2 linked regions of the Diceros bicornis minor genome follow. The protein of the gene in region 1 interacts with the protein of each later gene in a pairwise test. Links are inferred from orthologs where the notes say so. Each region holds a gene or a part of one and is shown on either strand. Other genes may lie near its edges.

Evidence for each region.
Region 2: the proteins of KCTD13 (region 1) and ZMYND19 interact in binary tests that used the Homo sapiens proteins (3 or more experiments, as listed by UniProt). The two-hybrid records come from large-scale screens. The link is inferred for Diceros bicornis minor from reciprocal best matches to the Homo sapiens genes KCTD13 and ZMYND19.

The regions. Positions count from the first base shown.
Region 1 is NC_080765.1:21,747,970-21,755,694, forward strand, and holds the start of KCTD13 (BTB/POZ domain-containing adapter for CUL3-mediated RhoA degradation protein 1), read right to left. Parts: upstream 3,017-7,725; 5' UTR 2,858-3,016; coding exon 2,614-2,857; intron 1,283-2,613; coding exon 1,113-1,282; intron 1-1,112. UniProt on the Homo sapiens protein: Substrate-specific adapter of a BCR (BTB-CUL3-RBX1) E3 ubiquitin-protein ligase complex required for synaptic transmission.
Region 2 is NC_080767.1:44,091,291-44,099,036, reverse strand, and holds the start of ZMYND19 (zinc finger MYND domain-containing protein 19), read left to right. Parts: upstream 1-4,744; 5' UTR 4,745-4,868; coding exon 4,869-4,919; intron 4,920-6,464; coding exon 6,465-6,524; intron 6,525-7,261; coding exon 7,262-7,368; intron 7,369-7,746. UniProt on the Homo sapiens protein: May be involved as a regulatory molecule in GPR24/MCH-R1 signaling.

The DNA.
Region 1 (7,725 bases):
CAAACAGCATTAAAAAAAGAAAGAAAACAATATATCGAGTGTATTTCACTAAAAGTATCATTTTATGAAACTCTTATTTCAGTTATATGTATGTGAGTATAAAATGCATTGTTTTCTATGGTATGAAGTCGAAAAGTTTGAAAAACATGGATATTTCCTAAAGGAATTCTATATTTTTGGATTTCAAGAACCAATAAGTACTCTCCAAGATAACAGAAAGTTGTTCATAGTAGCCACTTTTTAATATATAAAGGGCATCAAAAAAGAAACTTATAATCTCCTATTAATATCGTATCATGAAAGAACATTTTTAACATTGTAAAAACTGAACAGAATAAAAGGCTTTATGTAAAACTCACTACACTGTACATATTTTTCTCATTTCCCTATCTTTTGGAACACGAGGACAGAACGCCAGAGGTAGGAACTGACTCACTCAAGGTCACTCAGTCAGCTGTGGCAGAGGTGACACTTAACCCATATATCCTGGCTAGGCTTTCCAAGCTCTTCTCCTCAGAACCCTAAGAGATCCACAGAAGAGAAGCCCAGCAGGTGGGGCTCTGGAACCCCCAACCCTGTTTTATTGGGAGCAGCTCTGCTTATATGAGATTTCATTGCTAAAAAAAAAAATTTTCAAACCCCCTGGGAGGCAGGGCGTGGAATGCTGCCTCCCAGGATAGGACCAGATCATGGAGATCATTATATTCCAATTTAAATTTAGATTTTTTTCCCTAGCAGCACAAAGGAGTTATTTAGGATTTCTGAACAAGGGAAAGAGTAAACTGGGATTGTTTTCAAGGATCATTACTCAGGTGGTGGTGTAACAGCTAGACTGGCTGGGTAGGAACAGCAAGAAGCAGAGAGAGCAGTCATTTAACTATTGCAGTAGTCTTGGCACGTGGTGGTGAGGGGGGCCCTGCCTGAGGCAGCAGGGACACAGAGGACAGTACCCCTAAATTCTCTGGGTCATGGCTAGTCAGGGCCAGACCAAAGGCAGCCTCTCCAAATAGTACCCCATATTCCCTTTTTTTTTTAATGTCCTAATATCTAACTGCTTGGGCAGCTCTCCAGTCATAGGGGTCGGACTCAGGAGTCGAGGGAGGGACCCTCACCTGCAGTGCCAGCTGGCAGTCCTCAATCAGGCCCTGTACCAGGTAGTAGCGTGCTTCGCCTAGTAGCTCCCCCAGTTCTCTGGTACTCTCAGGCAGTGGCACGGACCCGTCCCGCAGGTAGTTGAGGATTGTACCAAAGTGGCGGCCGCTCCGGTCAATCAGCACCCAACCTGGTAGGGTGGGGAGAGGCAGGAAGAAGGATGGCTTTGCTGGGGGACCATGGAGCTACTACAGTTTTATGAAAAAAGGATTTCAAAGCTACACGTCTGAATATTGATCTATCTCAAACCTCCCCCATATCCAAGAAAATCCCTTTAAAACATCTCCAGTGAGTTCTCCCAAGGCCCCTTTTCAACATATCCAGCCACAGAGAATTAATTCTCTTCCAAGTCTATTCTACACTGAGAAGGTTCTCATCATGAGAAAGTTCTTACAGATTACCTTATCAATAAACCTCTAACTTCTTGTGTTAATTCTGACCATCTATTTAATTAAAATGTCTACCCCACCCTCCAGTTGTCTACCATTTTACCCTTTATATTCTTCATAGAACTTATTACTATATCTGGAATTACACGTATTTTTTTTTGTATGTTTACTTGCTTACTGTTCTCACCCTGCCCTCACGAAAAAGCAAACTCCATAAGGCTAATCTTATCAGATTCGTTCACTAAAGTATCTCCAGCACTAACTGGCTTACAAATACTTACTGAACAAATAAATTCTTCACCTTCAGATATTTGAAGACTGAGCTCCACCTCCCAAATGTTTATTCTCCTGCTCTTACAATCCTTGTTTACACCTTCTGAATCCCCCCCCCCACCCCGCCTCAAAAAAAACCCTTTAAGTTTCCACTTGGGCATGCGCGGCCCAAACCTGAATGTAGCACTCCAAGAAGGTAAGGTTCGCCTGCCAGGGAGAACTGTCCACCCTCCAGTCTGGTGTCCCTGGCAAACCCAAAGCAGCCTTCTCCTGCTACAATCGGCATTTACAGAAGGATTCCTAGAGGGTACAGGAACCTGGGTTAGGGGAACACAGAGACAGACAAGATCCGCCAACTCTCCAGGCTGGTTGTTAGCGGTGTTGAGTTAGCGGAACAAAAGGCTGGGCAGCTGGAAAAAACGGATGAAGGTTGCCTGGAAGGATGCTGCTGGCAGCAGGGCTGGTTTCCAAGTCTTTTGAGCTCAGTGGTGAAGACTGGGAGAACTAGGGGAGAGCGGTAATGAAAATTCCGAGGTGATCTGTTGAATCCCTTACCGCAGCGCCTGGCCGAGTTAGGGGAGGTTCCGTAAATGCTGGTTATTGCTGGGGGTCAAGACTGGGGGAGGAGGGAGATTACGAATGAGACGATGAGATGGGATGTGGGGGCCGGAGGAGGCGAGAATGAGTTCACTGGACCGCAGTGAGACGAGAGAAGGGTCATGAGGAGACGGGGCGACGACAGACTAGAGGAAGGGGATCTGGAGGCTGGAGGAAGCTCAAGCGAGGGCGGCGCGCGTACCTCCGGCGTCCGTGAGCACCTCCGCGCGGCCGCTGAACATGGCCTTGAGCAAGGTGTCCTGCCCCGTGAGGGTGCGCAGCGTGGTGTAGTGCAGCGAGCCGCCCACGTTCAGCTTCACGTACTTGCTGTTCGGCGTCAGCGGCTTGAGACCGTAGGCGGCGACGCCAGGCTCGAGACCCGAGGGTTTAGGAACTTCCAGGGACGGGGCCTCGGCCGCCGCCGGGCCCGAGGCTTCGGCCGACATGCCAGGTGGTGGCAGCAGGCAGCGATTCTAAGCACTCCGCGCCCCCTGGCCCTCCCGAAGACCCCGGGACCCGAGCTCTAGGGCCAAACCGCTGGGCTCGCACGCCCACACGCCGCCGCTACTCATCTACACCCGCCCTCAGCCCCATCGCGCCCGCACGCCCGGAAGCGGGGCCGAGCAGCTGCGCAGGCGCATCAAGGTCCCGCCCGGGCCTCGCGGGGCGGGGGGGGGGGGGGGAGTGCGGAGCATGCGTAGTGGCCTTGGGCCCGTTGAGGGGTCGCTCGCAGACTGCGGCGGAGACTTGCTGCGGGCTCTGTGCGGTGCACTGGCCTGGAGAGTACCGGAGACCAGCTCCAGGAGACGCCTCGCCATCTGCCTGCTGTGGAAAGCGACGTCCCCGCCCCGTGGTTGGCTTTCCGCTCTCGGGGCGCTTCGCGGGCGTGAAGGGAAAACTGAGGCCCAGAGAGGCAGGGGATTGGGCAAGGTTTCCCGCCTCCCAGCGCCACGCACTCGACAGACTGAGGAGAGCTTCGAACAAAGCACCAGGGGAAGCTCGCAAAGGAGGCCAAAGCGGGTGGGGGGGGGCCCTCCCAGGGGAGGTGGCAGTACTGCTAGGGCATGCAGGGTGGGAGTAGGTAAGGTTGTCATGGAGGGCCTCTCTGAGGAGGTGATTCTGGGCTGAAGCAGAGAAGAAGCAGCCACGTGGAGGTGTGAGGAAGACAGTTCCAGGCAGAGGGAAAGACAAATACACAGACTCTGAGGCAGGAACACGCTCGGTGTATTTGAGGAGCAGAAAGAATGTCAAGGGTGGCTGGAGTGGCTGAGCAAAGGTCTTAGAATCCCAGCTACTGCCGTGAGATACCCAACCCTGAAAAAAAAAAAAAAGATAGGTACACGTTGTTGACAAAGTGTGGTGAGAAGTGCGTTTATCTGACCCGATCTACATCCAGTTTAGAAGCTGATACATCAGAGATTGAACAATCGACTTTAATGCCTACCAGGGAGATTTGCTGGAGGGAAGAGGAAACACAGAGTCAGAGTTGTAGTTTCCATCCTGCCACCAGTTCACTGGGTGATCCTGGGCAAGCTACTTCCCTCTGGGTTTGCTTGCTTCGTTTTGTGCTTAGTGAGGGGTGTGAATTTAAATGCCTGCAGGGGACATGTAGGAGTGTAAATGAGTGGGGTGGGCCAGTTATTAGGTATTGGGGGGTAATGGAGCCTGTGGTGTCTGGTGGAGAGCTCATGTTCTACCAAAGGAGTGGCCAATTCTTATTTTTCAAGTGTAGCTGGTGAAAAAGAGAAAAGCAGCTTGTGACAGCTGGAGGCTAATTTGCACTCTCCCTCCAGAAGCCTTGGTGCTGCTGGAAGCCCACCTGGCACTATCAGCTAGGCTGCAGTGTTGTCCTGTTGAGCATAAACAATTTCAGAGAACACCAACATCAAAGTCACTCTCTGGTGGATTGAGAGAAATAATCATGTCCATAAGCATATCTGAACACATTGTCCAAACCACAGAAATGACCAAACACAACCTCCTCCCCGACATTTTGAGTGACTGCTGCTTCTTTACCAAGTACAGCTTTAGCCCCATCCATTCCTCCTAATTTCTAGATAAGAATTAAGATAACCAAAAAGAATTAACCCCACTTCCTGACAGCATCCAACCTAGAGCAAATCTCCGCTTTCCTGAATCCTCCTAGAAAATCACCTAACAAGCCCAAATCCTGTAATAACATAAGCTTTCTAACATGTGCTTCCTGAGATGCCCAAGATGGGTTCCCCATGATGTGCGGTCTCCCTTGTTCAACCAGAGGTGTGTTCCTGGTGGTGTTTGGCTGGAGAACATTGTCAGAAATGGACCAGCCAAAGAGATTCATTTAAACCCTCACTGCCTTGGACTGGGACCCTTGACACTAGTAATAATGTGCACATCTGAGACCCCTTGTGTCTCTGTTTGAGGTCCATCCTGCCCATGGCTGGGACGTAAGTTCTCGCTGACTTGAGCTCTGATGTTTCATTGAGACCCTTTAGTATTGGGATTGTTTGTCTTCCTTGGAATATGGTCCCCCTGGATTTTTTGGTTATCCAATCAGATTTTTATTTTTCCTTGGTGAAATTGTTTTCTGGCCTTCTATACCGGCTTCTATGGTCTGTCCTCTTGTCTAGTGTTTTGAATTTTGTTTGTCTATAAGAGGAAAAGTCTATAGGGAAAGGACAGGTTTGCAGCCCTAGATGTGTAAGGCCATCACAGACCTGTTATTGCTCAGTTTCTTGTGGCTGAATACCACTTGTCCCTCTAAGAAGTTGGGGATGCCAACCACTTGGGGGGTCATGTAACTAGTTAGCATGCTGGAGTCTCATTTGTTATCAGAATTAACCAGACAAATTGCTCCATCAACCAAGAGCCAATAAGTCTGTCCAACCGCCACCCGGCCCCAGAGGCTGTGAAATTCAGAAGGTATCCTCAGACCAGTGTCCTTTGGATAAACTTTGGCTCGGATCATCATTTCCAACCTTTATAAGGACTTCTTCCCGAGTTTTGTCTGTGTCTCTGAGAATTGTTTTGTTTCATTTCTTCTGCCCAGATCAGGACATTTTCTCTGGCCCCTGATCAATGACGACTGGCCTTTGGCCAAGTTCTGGAGGTACAAGGTTGCACAGCACCATCCTTATGGTGGCTCATCTTAACTAAAACTGGGCCAAGTAGCTGCTGCTTTCATGTTTTCTCATGACTAGACTAACTTGTACCCTTATATCGCTAACTGACACAATTTCACTAGGGACAAATTTGAAATTGCAGTGGCCATTTTGGGGAACTTCTGACAAGAACAAAATTGTTTATTTAAAGGTACTTCAGAACGAAAGAGGAAGAAACCCTCATGAGGAGATTGTCTTGTGTGTCAGAAAGAGAGATTATTTTGTTTAACACAGGCAATATTTCATTTCTGTACTTTGTAGGTTATTAAATGCTGACTTTTTAATTGTACAGCTCTATTAAACTGTCAAGTGCCTGAGTTATTATTTAAATGAGCTGGAATGTCACTCTTTTTGTGTCTGTATGTATATGTCAAAATCTGTTTTACTGTGTTTAAACTGTCTTCCCTGTCCTTGCAGAGGGAACATTGATTAGCTTTGGAGAGTGATAATTTTATATTTGTCTGAAGTAGCTTCCTCTCAATTTTTTTGCTATCCATTCCCTCTCTTGGAAAACTTTAAGATTAACTAATCAAAAAATTATTCTAGGGGCCAGCCCCATGGCATAGTGGTTAAGTTCGGCGTGCTCCACTTCAGTGGCCTGGGTTCATGGGTTCGGATCGCAGGCACAGACCTACACCACTTGTCAGCCATGCTGTGGCAGCGACCCACATATAAAGTAGAGGAAGATTGGTATACATGCTAACTGAGAGCTAATCTTCTTCAAGAAAAAAAAAAAGGAGGAGGAGGATTGGCAACAGATGTTAGCTCAGGGCTAATCTTCCTCAGCAAAAAAATAATAATTATTACTCCGTGGTATGTGTGCACTCTAGGAATAACTAGTCCAGTTAAACTGTCAAACTGTCTAAAAGAATTGTTAAACTGTATATGTTTCCTTTATGGGCACTGAAAAGTATATTTATGTAACAGGCTTTGTTATTATAGCTACAGGGTAAGAAAAGACCTTAGTTCCAAGATAAAAGAAGAGCTTTTAGCATGATCCAGTGTCTTTAAATTTTAATTTGCCATGTAAAAATAATGCCAGCACAATATTTCGGTTTGTACAAGATCAGGGTAAGTTTTCAAACGATGTAAACTTTCTTAATATTTACATATATATTCTATAATTTAAGTAAATTTTCATGGTTTTCATATATAATTTATCTTTTTTTCTTTTCTTTTTTTATAGTCACCATGTTGTACATTACATCCCCAGAACTTATTTATAATTGAAAGTTTATATATATAAGTTTATATGTAATTGGAAGTTTGTACCTTTTGACTGCCTTCACTCATTTCCCTCACCCCCCACCCCCCACCTCTGGCAACCATCAATCTGTTTTCTCTTTCTGTGAGTTCAGTTTTTTCAGATTCCACATATAAGTGATATCAAAGCGTATTTGTCTTTCTCTGTTTGATTTATTTCACTTAGTATAATGCCCTCAAGGTCTATCTATGTTACGGCAAATGGCAGGATTTCTTTCTTTTTATGGCTGAATAATATTCCGTTTTACATATACCACATTTTCTTTATTATTCGTCTGTTGATGGACGCTTAGTTTCCATGTCTTGGCTATTGTAAATAGTGCTGCAGTGAACATGGGGGTGCAGATATCTCTTTGAGATAGATATTTGGTTTCCTTCAGATATATTCCCAGATGTGGAATTGCTGGATCATATGGTATTTCTATTTTTGATTTTTTGAGGAACCTTCATACTGTTTTCCATACTGGCTGCACCAATTTACATTCCCACCAACAGTGCACAAGTGTTCCCTTTTCTCCACATCCTCACCAACACTTGTTATCACTTGTCTTTTCAATAACAACCATTCTAACAGGTGGAGGTGATATCTCATTGTGGTTTTGATTTGCATTTCCCTGATGATTAGTGATGTTGAGCACCATTTCACGTACCTGTTGGCCATTCGTATGTCTTCTTTGGAAAAATGTCTGTTCAGTTCCTCTGCCCACTTTTTAATTGGATTGTTTGGGGTTTTTTTTGCTATTGAGTTGCATGAGTTCTTTATATATTTTGGATATTAACCCCTTATCAGATATATGATTTGCAAATGTTTTCTCCCATTCTATCAGTTACCTTTTCATTTTGTTGATGGTTTCCTTTGCTGTGCAGAAACTTTTTAGTTTGGTGTAGTCCCACTTGTTTATTTTTGC
Region 2 (7,746 bases), on another chromosome or scaffold:
TGGTCTCCAGAGAGTGACACTGATTGCCTGGCGGTAGGCCCCCAAGAAGGAGGAAGGTGAGGCAGCCAGTCCTCAGGCCTGGGCTTAGAAGTCCCAGAACTTTCTACCCATTAAATGCATCAAAACAGTCACAGGACCAATGTGGTGGAACATCACACACTTGTAGGGAGGGAAGGGATTGATGGTGATAATTTGAGAAGCCTACCACACCAGCTAACAATAGCAGAACCAGCCATCTGAGCCCAATCTAGATTACAGAATCATGAGAAAATAAATAGTTGTTGTTTTAAGCCACTAAGTTTTGGGGTGGTTTAATATGCAACAATAGATAACTGGAACAGACATTGGTACTTAGAAGTGAGATACTGCCATACCAAAATTCTAAAATACGGCACTGACTTTGGAACCAGGCAGCAGGAGGACACTAGAAAGGCAGTGAGAATATTGCCGTTGGAGGCTAGAGAAAGTTATAAGCCATGTTGGGTATTAGCAGAAAAATGGCAAAGCCATTGCCTATGGTAATGTGGAAGACAGAAAATGTATCTATGGGGCCAGTCCGGTGACGCAGTGGTTAAGTACGTACACTCCGCTTTGGCAGCCTGGGGTCCACAGGTTTCGATGCCGGGCTCGCACCAGCACACTGCTTTTCAAGCCATGCTGTGGTGGTGTCCCATGTAAAGTAGAAGAAGATGGGCATGGATGTTAGCCCAGGGCCAATCTTCCTCAGCAAAAAGAAAAAAGAGGAGGATTGGCATCAGATGTTAGCTCAGGGCTGGTCTTCCTCACACACACACAAAAGAAAATGTCTGTAATGATCTGATTTTCTTAGCAGAAAGCTTAGAGGGCCAGTTGGCTTCTTTCATTTGTTTACTGAAAGTGAAGGAAGAGAGAAAGGAACTAAAGAAGCGACTGTTGCATCTTCCAGCAGAAGTTAGAGGACATGTTTCTAAGCCAGGTCTTGCTAAGTTGGCAAATAAAAACTATTTCTCATTCCCAGCCTTTCCAGGCAGCAAGAGGTTCTCAAGGTGAGCGACGGTGTCGTGGTGAAGATCAATTCCGGGGTCCTGCCAACAAAACATGGCCTCGGGGTCAAAATAAATTCAAGGGTGTGGTTGTATGATCCCTTGTTAAGACCTCTGAAAGATTTCTGGGTGGGTGGGTCCTCATAGACCCTGTCAGCCATACAAAAGGGCTTCTAAGAATTTTGAGGTCATTGTCCCACAGTGCCTGACTTGTAGCCCACAGTAGAAAGGAGCCTTCTCAAAGACATTTGTGCTGTAGCTTTTGTCTAATGAAGTGAGTTTTAATTTGATACATAGAAAATCCACAAATTTTTTTAAGGGTTGTATATGCTTGAACTAAAATGGACAGAGTTTGAAATAAAAGAGGCCTCTGGGCCCCCAACTTTCTACAGGCAAGAAGCTGAGGAAGCTACTCAGCTGCAAACCTGGGCCATTTCCTATGGAAAGGGAGGATGACCGAGAGTGCAAGGCCAAGAGTCCAGAGGGAGAAGCCAAGCACTGCCCAGACAGGAGGTCAGGGAACCACACCACACGGGGAACAGACAGGCCCTGATCAAAGAACGCTGCGATGGACGTCTGGCTGAATTTCCAAATTGTTATGGACCAGTGACTGTGGGGTACACTCCTCCTTTTTGAATGCGGTGTCTATTCAGTTATCTTGTGCTCCACCGTAGAATGTTGGGTATGGGAGGGGTAATAACATGCCTCTGGAGCAAAAGGGGTCACACCTGAGGTGTTCTCATCCACATCTGGCCCTGTTGCATATCACAAGATACTGGACTCTAAGCCTAACACCTTGATGAGATGGTGATACTGAGGGTCTTAGGAGGTGCTGAGTGCAATCTTCATGTGGGAGGAGCATGGATCATTAGAGGCCAGAGGGCGGACTGGGGCAGGCTGTTCCACTGGTAGCCCTCCACTGAACCACACTTCCTAAGCCCCCCAGTGAACCCATGCTTTTGTGCACAGCCCTCCTACGCTGATTTTGGGCTTGCTCACATAACTTGCTTTGGCCAGTGAGATACTAGCAAGCATGATTCAAGCAGAAACCCAATAAATGTTTGCCCAGTGGCACTTGTCACACACAGCACAGCCTCCACACTGTAAGGAAGTCTAGCTATCCTGCCTGGCCATGTGGGGAAACCCTGGATAATGAGACATCACACAGAGAGAGGTTACACGGAGGAGAAATGAGGTGTCCCACTCAAATTCCCAGCTGACACCATGTGCAACCGAAGATCCCCAGTCAATTAGAATTGCGAGAAATTATAAATCAATGTTATTTCAAGCCGTTAAGTTTGCGGTGGTTTGTTACACATTGGTAGGTAACTGAAACCTATGGTAGTCACCAACAACTGCAGCCCTCTCACAATCTCAAATCCACACATCTCTGGCCACTACCTCCCTCACTCCCTCTAGCACCCTGACTCCTGTTTTTAGCAAAAAACGCCTCAGGGGAGTTGTCTGTCTCATGGTCTCCAGTTGTCTCCTTCCACTCCCTCTTAACCATTTATGGACTCATTCCCCCACCACACCACCAAATCTGTGCTTGTCAAGGTAACCAGTGCCCTCATGCTGTGTTGCTCAATCTATTGAATAACTCCCAATCCTCATCTTACAGGACCTGTCAGCAGCGTTTGACATCGCTGATCCCTCCCTGTACCACAGGCGCTGTCTCCACTGGGCTTCCAGGCCACTGCCGTCTCCTGGTTTTCCTCCTACTTAACATCTTCTTTCTCTTTACTGACTCCTCCTCTTTCTAGCCTCTCTTCCCCCTTAACATGGGAGTGTCAGGGTTCAGTCTTTGACCTCTCTTTTTCTCTATCTGCATTTTCTCCCACGGTGATCTCATCCAGTTGTATGGCTTTAAATATAACAAATATGCTAATGAATGCCAAATTTATACCCCCAGGCTGGACATCTCCCCTCAACTGTATATTCATATATTGAACTGCCTTGTAACCTTAACATGTAGCATGAGTAAGAAATACACCTTTAGGGGCCGGACCCATGGTGTAGCGGTTAAGTGCGCACGCTCCACTGCTGGTGGCCCGGGTTCAGATCCCCAGTGCGCACTGAGGCTCCGCTTGTCAGGCCACGCTGTGGCAGCCTCCCACATAAAGAGGAGGAAGATGGGCACGGATGTTTAGCCCAGGACCAATCTTCCTCAGCATAAAGAGGAGGATTGGCATGGATGTTAGCCCAGGGTCAATCTTCCTCAGCAAAAAGAGGAGGATTAGCATGGATGTTAGCTCAGGGCTGATCTTCCTCACAAAAAAAACAAAGAAATACATTTTTATTTTGCTAAGCTACTGAGAATTTGGGGTTGTTTGTTACTGTAGCATAACCAGGGCTACCCTGACTGCTACAGAACACCGCCAGCATATGTGCCCAAACACTATCGTTTCTTGGTTGAGCCCTTGCATTCATTTCCCTAACAGCATTCCTGCTTCCACTTTTTCCCGGTGTAAACAGTTGTCCCCATCAGCCAGCGTGAGTCATTGAGAGGCTGCTTCCCTGTTCAGCTCCTCCAACAGCCTCCCTTCTTTCTAAGCATAAAGTCAACGTCCTCACAGAGCCTATGTGACCCCCCCTTACCACCTTTCTGACCTTGTCCCCTCTTGCTCTCCTTCACTTAGGTCTGGTCACAATGGCCACCTTTGTCCATGAGGCCTACTTTGCCCACCACCTTCACCAGGACTCCAACCCCCTAATGCCAATCTACTTGTTTCTGCCATAGCCTTTATCGGTTTCTAGTATGGCATATAACTCCCTCACTGTGGGCCTCTTCTGCCTCACTCGCTGGAATACAAGCAGGAGTTTTTAATTTGCCTTGTGCACTGCTGTCGAGTAGTCTCAGTAGGTTCTGCGGGTGGAAGCCCAGCTGGAGTGGTAGCCAGGAGACACGGGTGGTGGGCAGAAGGCCCCCCATGGCCGTCAGGCCCTGGAGGTCCTGTTCAGGAAGGACCTGGAGCATTCAGAACCCTGGCGCATCGCCCCAGCTCAGTTACGGAGCTTGAGGCCCCGGGAAGGTGAGTGCAGCCCGAGGATGGGCTGGGTGGAGGAGCCCCGGCCCCCGTGGTGAGGACGCGGCCGGCGGCCGGGGAGGAAGGAGGGCGCTCCTGGCGGGGCTCGGGCCGTCTTCTGCGTCCCGCAGGCCCTGCCCCGGCCCCTGCTCCGCAGCGGCCCGTGGCTCTGGGTCCGTCCCCGCCCCGCGCCTCCTGCCCGCGGCCCTGAGCACAGGGACCGGAGGCGGGGAGCCGCAGCGGATCCCGCACAGACGCCACGTGCAGGGCCCCTGCGGAGTGCGCCGGGGCGCGAGCCGGGCCGCCCTCCAAGCAGGGCGGGGGTCGCGGGGTGTGAGGCCGGGGGCGGGGACCCCGAGGCCGGAGCGCCGCCGCACAAAGCTTCCCGCGAACCTGACGTCGCGCGGGACGGCCGCGCAGGCGCCGCCCCCGGCCGCGCCCCTCCCCCGCGCTCGCCCTGCTCCTCAGCGCGCAGGCGCACTCGCCCTCCGCCCATTGGCCGCGGTGCGGCGGCGCGCGGCGGCCGGAGCAGTGCGCGCCCCGCGATTGGCCAGGAGGCGGCGGGCGGGGGTGTGTCCGCGCCCCGCCCCGCCTTCAGCCCCGCTCGCGGTGGTGCGCGCGGTGGCGGCGGCGGCGCGTGGCAGGTCCGGCGGGCGCGAGGCGGTGGCGGCCCGAGTCCGGCCCAGCCTCGTCCCGCCCGCCCGCCCGCCCGGCCCCGACCGCGGCCCCGGCCCGCCCGCCTGGCGCGCCGCGGCCCCGCCCCGGCCCGACCCGGCGCCTCCCGAGGGAGCGGCGCCGCCGGCCGAGCGCAGGCCCGGCCATGACCGACTTCAAATTGGGCATCGTGCGGCTCGGCCGGGTGGCCGGGAAGGTGAGCGGCGCGGGGCCGGGGGCTGAGGCGCGGGGCTCTGGCCGGGGGCCTGGGGCGCGTGGCTCTGGCCGGGAGCCGGGAGCGTGGGGCCGGGGGCCGGGGGCGCGGGGCTCTGGCCGGGAGCCGGGAGCGTGGGGCCGGGCGGTTGTACGGACGGCGGGCCGGCGGCGTGTCCCTGCGGGGCAGCTCTCCTCGGGCCGCGGGCTGGGGCTCAGACCGTGCACTGTGGCCGGGGGAGGAGAGAGCTGTCGGGCTGCACCTGCGGCCGCGGGCAGCGCTGCGCCCTTCCGAAGCGGCGCGCTCGCTGCTTGCCAAGACGGGTGTGTGCGCGCCGCTCCGTGCCTGTCGGTCAGTAGTGGAGCTTCGCGCAGGTCTCACGCTGCCAGCGGTGGCCGCGTCTGGCTGAGCCTCAGTGGGCCTTGCCAGAGCAGGGTCTCCCTCTGCTTCTCTCCCTTACCTGGCCCCGCCCTCCGTGTGTTCGAGGCTGGGGCTTCCTGGCACCTGTGGGCATCCAGGCTTGGCTGTTTCCAGGAGCCGGCCGGTCGTGCAGCTGCACCAGCCACAGACTTCACCCTGGATGGGAACCCTGTTCCCATCACCAGCGGCGGAAGCTTCTGGTGGGAGAGAGGAGCAGAGGCAGTCAGATGAAGGTAAAACCGATTCAGATCCTAGAAAAAAGCTTTCCCAGCAAGAGTGAGACTGGTCGGTTTGGGGACGTTTCCTGCCCTTCCTGCAGAGGGATGTTGCTTTCTTTTTTTTGTGAGGAAGATCAGCCCTGAGCTAACATCCGTGCCAATGCTTTTTTTTTTTTTTTTTTTGCTGAGGAAGACTGGCTGTGAGCTAACATCCGTGCCCATCTTCCTCTACTTTATGTGGGACGCCTGCCACAGCATGGCCTGACAAGTGGTGCGTCTGTGTGCGCCCGGCATCCGAACCTGTGCACCCCAGGCCACGGAAGCGGAGTGCGCTCACTTAACTGCTGCACCACCAGGCTGGCCCGGGATGTTGCTTTCTAACTAGGCGGGGTGGGCTTCTCTCAGCCCTGAGACCCCTTTTAAGTCAGTGACTGGCTGCATTAATGTCATCCCTTAAAACTTTTGTTTGAAATGTTTCAGACAGACAAAAAGCAAAAAAGGACAATGTAGTGTGCACCTGCGTGCCAACCACCTAGGTTACTAAATAAACACTAATTGAAATCCTCTGGATGTCCTGCCTCTGTCCTGGCCCCTCCCTCTACAGCAGCGAAGCCCCGGTGGTGGACGGGGTTCATGGGCGCATTAACATGTACGGCTTAGAGGTTGCCCAGTTCAGGTCCATTTTTTGTGGTTAGTCTTGTGCAGATGGGAAGTGAAGCCTGGTACCGTCTCCTCTGGTATGCTCTTGAGTGGGGACTGACCAGCCTTTGGCACGCTGACCTGCTCTTTGGGGTAGACTGCCCCATGCCCCTTGCCTGCTGACCCCTCTCAGTCTGAAGGGGCTATTCCTGCCTGTTATTAGTACCTTACACTGACTCCAATCGTAACGTTTTGAAACGTTAATTTCCAGACCAAGTACACCCTGATTGATGAGCAAGACATCCCGCTGGTGGAGGGCTACTCCTTTGAGGTAAGGATGGCTGTCCCTTTGCTGGCCTGCTTCCAGCCCGTGTCTGGGGAGGGTAACAAGGGATGATGGGTTTTCTTCCCTGTAATGTGAGGGCAAGACTGTGCATGTGAGCTGGCCCGTGAAGCCTGTGCAACACTGGCCCTCCCCTACCTCCACCTAGGTGCTGGCTTCTCCTAGAAAACAGACCACATTGTGTCATGTTTGTGGCTGATTGTTCAGTAGGACAAGCCCAGTTCCCTGGAACCTGTCCAGTGCCACCCCACGTCTCCTCTGGCCTTGGCCTCACATGCTCGCCACCCTCTGTCTTCCTGAGCCTCCCTGCCTTCCACTCTTGTCTGCTGACGACCACCCGCTCCTCCCCTTCCAGCCTCCAGGAGTCTGGGGCCACCACTTTCTTACCTCAGCCCCCCTCATGGTAGTTATTTGCTCAGGGGTTTCTCTCTCAGTGGATTGTGGGCTTTTCTTCAGGGGACGAAAGTTTATTTCTCTGTCCACAGCAGTTTGCAGAGTGGTTCGTGCGCGTGTCTTACTTGAATGCAGGCGGGTGCTTGTTGGGATGCAGTGGCTTCTCAGTGCCATGTGTCTGTGGGAGCCTCCTCAGACCCCTAACTTCCCAGGAACCAGACTGGCATTTATTCTTCTGGCTTGTTTGTTTCACTTGATTTTTCTAAGACGAATTTGAAATGTTTCCGAGAATCAGAGATTCTTTAATAGAACTTTTCCTTGTTTCTTCTCAGGCCCGGATGGAAGTAGACGCAGATGGAAATGGTGCTAAGATATTTGCATATGCCTTTGACAAAAACCGAGGAAGAGGGTCTGGAAGGCTCCTTCATGAGCTGCTGTGGTGGGTATTTTCGAGCTGTTTGTTTCCCACCTCGGGTCCTGCGTAAGCCCTGGTGCCCCCAGGGTGTGTGGAGGCAGTGGAGCCACCTGCCCTGGACAGGTGGTGCCCTCCCCAAGACTCCCAGTTAGTTTTGCGTCGTTGCCACTAACGCAGAGGAATGACTGATTCATATATCATGGCACTAAGTCTTCAGACACCAGTGGGCTTTCTGCTCTGGTGCTCACTCTGGACACAGCCTCCTCCAGGGGAGAGCAGGGTCTGGTTCCTTCACCGGGCTTTTGCTGAGCCTGTCGGTAGGATGTGGGGAAGGGGCTGCTTGTCCTCAGGGTGCACAGTGGAGTTCAGAAATGCTTGGGGCCACTCACACGGATGATCTCC